Linked DNA regions of Mus musculus: region 1 is reported to be linked to region 2. Evidence: microRNA targets listed by miRTarBase, many of them from high-throughput screens and not tested one by one. Region 2 holds a microRNA gene; the other region holds the end of a gene's coding sequence.

What was found. The annotated mature microRNA mmu-miR-1195 reads UGAGUUCGAGGCCAGCCUGCUCA and lies in region 2 at 1,266-1,288, opposite strand. An mRNA with a match to its seed (bases 2 to 7 or 8) in the 3' UTR can be bound and repressed. Matches are read on the target gene's strand: a 7mer-m8 pairs with bases 2 to 8, a 7mer-A1 pairs with bases 2 to 7 and ends in A, and an 8mer does both.
Region 1: the mRNA of Dnase2a is a reported target of mmu-miR-1195. Seed matches in the 3' UTR shown: 7mer-A1 at 920-926 and 8mer at 948-955.

The regions. Positions count from the first base shown.
Region 1 is chr8:84,910,277-84,914,276 of GRCm38, forward strand. Dnase2a (deoxyribonuclease II alpha) reads left to right here. Exons shown (of 6, transcript NM_010062.4): 6 at 410-1,427. The coding sequence ends at 756. It overlaps Mast1 (microtubule associated serine/threonine kinase 1), which reads right to left. Exons shown (of 26, transcript NM_019945.2): 25 at 3,044-3,231; 26 at 1,577-2,965. The coding sequence ends at 1,710. It overlaps Gm38426 (predicted gene, 38426), which reads left to right and starts at 3,059. Exons shown (of 3, transcript NR_103491.1): 1 at 3,059-3,252.
Region 2 is chr17:70,859,293-70,863,442 of GRCm38, forward strand. It overlaps Mir1195 (microRNA 1195), which reads right to left and starts at 1,308; the gene lies at 1,211-1,308.

The sequences.
Region 1 (4,000 bases), not on the chromosome of region 2:
TTAAGGGTTCCCTTAGTGGGTTGTGAAATAACACATAATTGTTTGGTAAGGATTCCCTTTAGGGGTGTGGGGAGGCAGGCCCTCACTGTGTATCCCTGGCTGGTCTGGAACTCTCAGAGAGCCATCTGCCTCTACTGTCTCAGCGCAGACTTTAAAGGCTCGAGTCTCCATGCCCAGCCTATGTGTTTGTGTAAGACCTCTCTGTACATTCCAGGCTAGACTCCATCTGAGAGCCTCTTGTTCCAGCTTCTGAGTGTTAGGGCTGCAGGTGTGACCTGAAGAGGGACCTGACCTGTTAATAGGGGCTGCTTAGGTTCACGTCATTCCAAAAGTAGACATTTGAGCCGAGCAGGAAGCCATACCGAGGAATGTACCAGTGGCCCTCACCTCATCCTTCCTTCCCCTGCAGACCTGTACTCCGGATGGTTGGCAGAAGCCCTTGGCACCAACCTACAGGTCCAGTTCTGGCAAAATTCTCCAGGCATCCTGCCCTCCAACTGCTCTGGAGCCTATCAGGTTCTGGATGTGACACAGACAGGATTCCCTGGCCCATCTAGACTAACTTTCAGTGCCACAGAGGACCACTCCAAATGGTGTGTGGCCCCTCAAGGGCCCTGGGCCTGTGTGGGTGACATGAATAGGAACAAAGCAGAGACACACCGAGGTGGCGGCACAGTATGCACCCAACTGCCTTCCTTTTGGAAGGCCTTCCAGTCCCTGGTGAAAGACTGGAAACCCTGTATAGAGGGGAGCTGACTGAAGCCCATCGGAGCAAAGGACTAAGACTCCGCAGTCTAACCAGGTGGGGGCCGGACTAGCCTTTACCCCAGCACTTGGGAGGCAGAGGCAGGTGGATCGATTCTCTCTCTCTCTCTGGTTTTTCGAGACAGGGTTTCTCTGTGTAGCCTTGGCTGTCCTGGAACTCACTCTGTAGACCAGGCTGGCCTCGAACTCAGAAATCTGCTTGCCTCTGCCTCTGTCTCTTTCTCCCAAGTGCTGGGATTAAAGGCATGCGCCACCACTGCCCGGCTCAGGTGGATCTCTTGAGTTCCAGGCCAGCCTGGTCTACAGAGAGTTCCAGGAGAGCCAGGGCAACACAGAGAACCCTTGTCTCAAAGAAAAGAAGAAGAAGAAAAAAAAAGAAAAACAAGAAAAAGAGAAAAGAAAGAAAGAAAGAAAAGACTCAGAGACTAGTTTTGACTTGAATTTGTTTGTGTGTCTGTTGGTGGGTTAAACCCAGGGCTTACCACATGGGACACAAGTACAGTGCTGCTGAGCCACACTCCCTGTCCCAGCTATGAATCTGAATACCAGTTCAGTCCCTTCCTAACTGGAGACCTTAACAGTGCCTTAACCTCTAGCTGTCTGTTGCAAAATGGGCATCACAGCATGTCTCTAAGAGGTTGTTAATACAACCAACTCTGTGCATGGCACTGGTAACCTTTTTCTTAAGATGGAGCCCAAGACACAGACCAGGGGTGGGACACCTTTTCCTTACAAAAGCTGTTACCACGTGTGGAATTGGCAGTGGATGGGACATAGGAAGGCCCTAATGAAAGCCACCTTCTTACTTTCTGAGAAGCCAAGGGCCATTCCTGTCCAGAGAGGAGGTGTGAACCCCAAGAATCTCAGGCAGCATGGGCACTTTATTTATATGTGTACATATGTATACAGGCATCTGTACAGCACAGCACCGAAAGCCTGCTCCGCTATGGACCTAGAGATGCAGGGCTAGGTGCCCCAGTTTTGGTGAGGCCTGCAGGAGTCACAGCTTCAGCAGGACACCGGGAGTTCAACCCTGCTTCAGGCTTGGTGCCTGGGACCATGAGGGAAGCAGGTGGGACTGAAGGAGCTGCACTGCGGGGTACATTCTTTGTTGGGACTAGGGTTGGAGTCTGGGGGTCAGGAGAGAGTTTGGGGGAGGCGGGCTTAGAGCGAAGTCCGCTTAGCGTGGTCCGCTCTTCCACCTCCTCTAGCACCCAGCGCTCCCTGCCCCTTGGGGCATCAGGCATCAGAGGCATCTGGGCTACAGGTTCCTTCAATCCCTTGGAGTCTGTGCCCAGAGGCTGGGGTGCCTGGGTCTTGACCCCTGGCCGAGCAGGCTCTACAACAATGGGCACCGGGGGTGTGCCTGCCTCACCAGAGCTACTGCGCCGGCCTGTCTCATGTTCCTGCACTGGACTTAGCGCTGCCTTGGCCAGGGCCCTGGCCACCCCACCTGGGCCATCCTCAGTCTGCACGCTCTGGTGCCTTGTGCAACCCGAGTCACGCTCCAGGGTCCGGCTCCCAGGGGTTGTCGCGCGAGGTGGGGTGCAAGCCTCTGTACCTCCCGCGGAATCCTCCTTGCTTGACGCCATAGGTCTCTGGACACCATCGGGTAGCAACGGGTCCGCGCCCAAGCTTAGGGGTGATTCCTGGCGACCCAGGCGTCGCACGGCGACCTGCCGGGTCGCCCCAGGACCCTCAATAGGAGGCGTCTCACCATCAGACTCAGCGAGGCTATGCAGGGCCAGCTCACCATGGAAGTCCTTTCGGAAATCAGGGTGTCCCACTTCCAGGCTGTGTTTGCGCAGTGCGCCCTTCTTGTCTGCTCCCAGCGAAGCCCCTAGTTTCTCCGCTGACTGCACGCGCTTGAGCAACGGCGAGCGTGGTGGCTCTGCACTTTTGGGGCGCGGGCGCACGACAGGTGGCGATGAGTGTAGTTTGGCAGGGAAGCTCTGCGTGGTATGTGAGCTGCCCACCGTGTGGCCTGGCAGCGGCGGCGGCGACGCCTGCGTCGGGGATGGTGTGTGCGCTAGAGGTGACAGCGGGATGTTGCCAGCCGATTTACAGCGCGCTGAGCGGTACTGGCGGTGTAGTTTCGGTGACAGCCCGTGCAAGGTGCTGGGCCTGATGTGGTGCGAGGCGGATGAGGCGGGGGAATTAGGCGTGCTGGAAGCTGGCGAGCTACTCTGTGACGAGGCGCCTGCAGGCCAGAGAAGGTGCAAACATTCTGAGCACCTCAGTGTCCTAGTCCCCTACCCCGCGCAGGCGCAGAACATACCTAGGTAGGCGGAGTCAGGTGTAGAGCGATAGCTATGTGTGGGCGAGCGTGCGGGTAGTCCGTGCGTGGGCGAGCCCGGAAGACTGTCGCTGGACGACAAGGACCGGTTCAAAGAGGACAGCGATCGACTGGTGTGCAGCAGGTTCGACTGCTTTGTGATCTTCCGAAAGAGAGAGCTCCGCTTCTTGCTGGAGGACAAATACCAAAAGGTATTTATTTGTCTTTCCTTAACTTCGGAGCTCTGGATCACCCCCACCCCCACCCCACCCCGGTTCTAGACTAGGCAGTAACCTCCTACCTCTTTCTAGCATTTCCCCTTTCCCTACAACCCGTTTATCAAAGCAGAACTAGAGTTCTGCTCAGTTCTGCTTGACCGTGCCTTCTCTTTTTCTGGCTACGGTACAATGCAAGAAAGCCCATCCAAAAAAAACCTCCGCCTCTTCTGGCCCCTCCCAAACATCTAGCCACACTCCTTTCCCCTGTAAGCCCACTTTACAGGTTAGTTCGCTTCCTTCAAATCGACACACGAGTCCTGGTCAAATCTCTCTCTCTCTCTCTCTCTCTCTCTCTCTCTCTCTCTCTCTCTCTCTCTCTCTCTCTCTCTCTCTCTCTCTCTCTCTCTCTCTCTCCTCTGTTCTGTCTCTCTCACAGACAGGGTCACTATGTACTTCGGGCTACCCTAGAACTCTTTGTATAGATAGGACTGGCTCTGCACTCACAGAGATCACCCTGCTTCTTCAAGGATTAAAGGCATGCGGCCCTTTGTCTTTGGGGCTAGAGAGATGACTCAGCAGTTAAGAACCGTGGCTGCTCTTCCAGAGGACCAGACTGGCTTTTCAGCAGTATGTGGCATCTAACAACCACCTGTAACTCTAGTTCCAAAGAATCTGGCGCCCTCTTCTGGCCTCTGCAGGCATCAAGCACACATGGAGTACACATAAACAGAAGCAATCAAAA
Region 2 (4,150 bases):
GGCAGGTCTGGTCACCCCAGAATTATACACCCCATTGTCTTTTGCTGTTTTCTGCTTCTAAGGCTAAATGTTTCTCCAGAGAGAACAATTACTTTTCATCTCTAGTTGGCACTTTAATGCTTTTAGTTCTAATAACCCATTATTTAGGTTAATAAAGAGATAAAAAATTGCTCCAGCAGGCTTACTCTTTTTTTTTTTTTTTTTTTTGGTTTTCCGAGACAGGGTTTCTCTGTGTAGCCCTGGCTGTCCTGGAACTCACTCTGCAGACCAGGCTGGCCTCGAACTCAGAAATCTGCCTGCCTCTGCCTCCCGAGTGCTGGGATTAAAGGCATGTGCCAACACCGCCCGGCAGGCTTACTCTTCAATGTGCGTTTCTATTCTTTCTGCTGGCACCCGACACACTATGTGCTCAGTTTGTTCTGTGTTGTTTGATTGATGAAATACACTCGAATCTTCACACATTTTTTTTTCCTCCTGTGGTTGGAATTGGATAGTTATTGTAACCAAAGGCTCCACAAAAAGCAATTTAAGGGAAGAAAATTTTATTTTGTCTCATGATTCAAGTGACCATGGGCAAAAAGACAAAAACCTTTATATTTTTTCCTTCCTTCCTTCCTTCCTTCCTTCCTTTTTCTGTAAAACACACACACAGAGATATGGGAGGTGTCCTTCAGGCATGTGGAGGTCAGGGGACAGCTTTTAGGAGTCTGTTTTCTCTCTGCACCTTTTTTGGGGGATGGAGTCTCTTCTGTTGCTTCTCACTGAGTAGTGCTCTGGCCTAGGTGGTCCGCAAGCTCTGCTGATTCTCCGTCTCCACTCTCCATCTCTTTCTGAGAGCACTGGGTTACCGTGGCACACCCTTGTACTCGAGTGGGTGCTGGGGATCAAACTGAGCTCAGTCAGGCTTGTGCACCCAATCAAGGCCAGTGCTTTAGACTGTCCTGCCGTCTGTCCATCTCAAGAGGGCATCTTCATTAAATGGCAAGAAATTAACATTGTGCTCATGAATAGAAACAAGTTTTTAGCTTGACATTTTAAATTTCTACAAATAATGCAGGCTTGACTGTGTCGTGTGTATAAGCCTTGTGTGTGGTGTTCAATACTGTGTAGCTACTACAGCTTCCCCTCAGAATGTAGACTGTTCTCTCTCTCTTTTCTTTTTTCTTCTTCTTTTTTACTTTTTCTTTTTTTTTTTTTTTTTACTTTTTACCTTCTTGAGACAGGGTTTCTCTGTGTGTTCCTGGCTGCCCTAGAACTCATTCTGTTGAGCAGGCTGGCCTCGAACTCACAGAGATCTGCCTGCCTCTACCTCCCAAGTGCTGGGATTAAAGGCGAGCGCCACCACAGCCCGGCTGCCTGGCAGATTTATTTATTTATTTATTTATTTATAACCTTGATCTCATGTTTAAGGTGATGTGTCCCAAACTCTCCACTGTGGGCATTATGTTTTCCTTTATGGTTGATAAATCTATCAAATGTATCAAAATAGGTGAATGTCCTGTCTTTGAAGCCTTCAATCTCAGCCTCCTCACTCCATCATTCCTTCTCCATTGCTTTGCTGTGTCCTATGGTAGGGAGAGCTGCCCCTCCAGTTGTCTGTGCTGCTCTGTCTACTTACAGGACATTTGGAGTCCTGGTTTATTTAGTGCATTAATAGCCTCTTATTATTATTATCATCATCACCACCACTATTGTAAAAATTCTTGGATTTACCCAGAGGAAGTTCCTCAAACTGTTTTTTTATTAATTTATTCTTTGACAATTTGATATATACACAGTGCATTCTGATTATTCTCCCTGTCTTCTCATCTTCCCCTCCAGTCCCTCTGACATGTTCATGTCTCTCTCTCTCTCTTTTTTAATATTACATGTTTTGCCTGAATGTACTCATGTGCCCCATGTGTGCCTGCTACCTGCAGAGGCCAGAAAAGGGCATTGGATGCTTGGAATTGCAGTTTGGATGGTTGTGAGCCCCATGTGGGTTCTCTACAAGAATAACAGGTGCTCTTAACCTCTGCACAACCCTCGAGCCCCTTCATGCCTTCTTGTTTTGCACCCCTTGAGTCTAACCACAGTGGTTCACGTGCCACTGGGTATAGAAGCATTCGCTGAAGTTGGTAGACTCACCCAGTGAACACACAATTGAAGGCAGTGACTGTCCCTGCCCCAGCAGCAGCCAGCACCAATAGTCCCCAAACCGGTTTCCTTGTCCTCTTGTACCATTCTTGGAAGATTTTCTTACCGTCTGGGACAGTGGCGTGTCTCAGGTGCATGCTACACTTCCCCTGCTCCAGTCCCCAAGCCCTGGACTGATCATTTTTCCAGCAAGTGCTGGCTATTCTTGTAGAAAAGAGAATCACTTATAGACATCAACATGAGCTCCAGTCTAGTGCACTGCTACTGAACCATGATTGCTTACTTCTGGGTTTCTCAGCAGAACTAAACACACACACACACACACACACACACACACACACACACACACACACCTTCATATGTTGGAAATCATGAATTCAAGCAGGGTACAATGGTTAACAGCTATATATTTATACTTCTGATACTTAGGAGATAGGCATGGGAATTTGGAATTTGAGGCCACTCTGGGCTACCTAGGTAAGAGTATATGTGAAAACAAGAGTATGTGTGTGATGGGGTGTAGTGGAGGAAAGGAGGGGCCCACATTATTTTGTGCTTCCAATTTCAGCAAACACAGCACTGCCTTCCATTCCCCGCCTCTCATATCTGCGCCCTCTTTTCTAACCACAAGCAACCTGCTTTCCATTACCTCAGGGTAATGAGTACTTAGTCCCATTACCTCAGGGTAATGAGTACTTAGTCCTAGATAGCAAGCTAGAACAGCCCTACCTGCCACTGGTAACTAACTCCTGTTTGCTTCCTCCCTTTGGTCTGGGGGTTTAAAGACAAAACATCCCTACTTCAAGTAATTCTGCCTTCCACACTCTTCAACTGACTGGCGCTCTCTTGAAATACATCTAGGTGATTTTCTGTTTGTTTGTTTGTTTTAAAGATTTATTTATTTTATGTATGTGAGTACAGGGTTGCTGTCTTCAGACACACCAGAAGAGGGCATCAGATTCCATGACAGATGGTTGTGAGCCACCATGTGGGTGCTGGGAATTGAACGAGGGACCTCTGGAAGAGCAGCCAGTGCTCTTAACCACTGAGCCATCTCTCCAGCCCCCATCTGAGTGTTTTTCATTGTGTCCCACACTGTGCCTCTCATTCTTCTGACTCTACAATTTTTTTTCTTGCACTTGTACATTTAGCAGAAATCCGTACTAAGTGAAAAGTTCACCCAGACACCAGTCAAACCCACAGATTCTGCCCACCTTGTAGTCACTGCTGGAGGCAGGAGGATTATGAATTCAAGGTTTTACTTAGCTACACAGAGGTTTGGAGCCCAGCCTAGGCTCTATGAGATCTTGTCCTAAAAACAACAATTAAAACAAAACCTGTGTGTTCTATATTCTGGGTATGTGTTTAGGGCTCTATTTCTGGCAGTTATAATATTTATATTATGTATAATATTATGTATAATATAAATATATAATGATTATGTAATTGAAAATGCTTTTAATATCAGGTTATAGAAGTCTTACTTAGTTTTACAGTTATATATTACTGTTACAAGAATCTCAAGGGTCGGGCTGACGGGGTGGCTCAGTGGGTAAGAAGGTGAACTGGGTATTGTTGCTTGCTCCTTTCCCCAGTGTGGCCATTTTGAATAAACATCCTTTCTCTGCTTTTGGTTTCTTCCCTTCCCTTGTGTGACGGTGGACAGCTGACCACACCTAGCTTGTTAGGGCTGCCAGGTCCTGAGGCTTCGACCCTTAAAATTCTCACTGACTGCTCTTCTGAAGGTCCTGAGTTCAAATCCCAGCAACTATCTGGTGGCTCACAACCATCCGTGATGAGATCTGATGCCCTCTTCCGGTGTGTCTGAAGACAGGTACAGCGTACATACGTATAATAAATCTTTGGGCGAGCAGAGGTCCTAAAAATTCAATTCCCAACAACCACATGAAGGCTCACCACCATCTGTACAGCTACAGTGTACTCACATAAGATAAATAAATAAATCTTTAAAAAAGGACAATTGCCAAAAAAAAAAAAAAAAGAATTTTAAGGG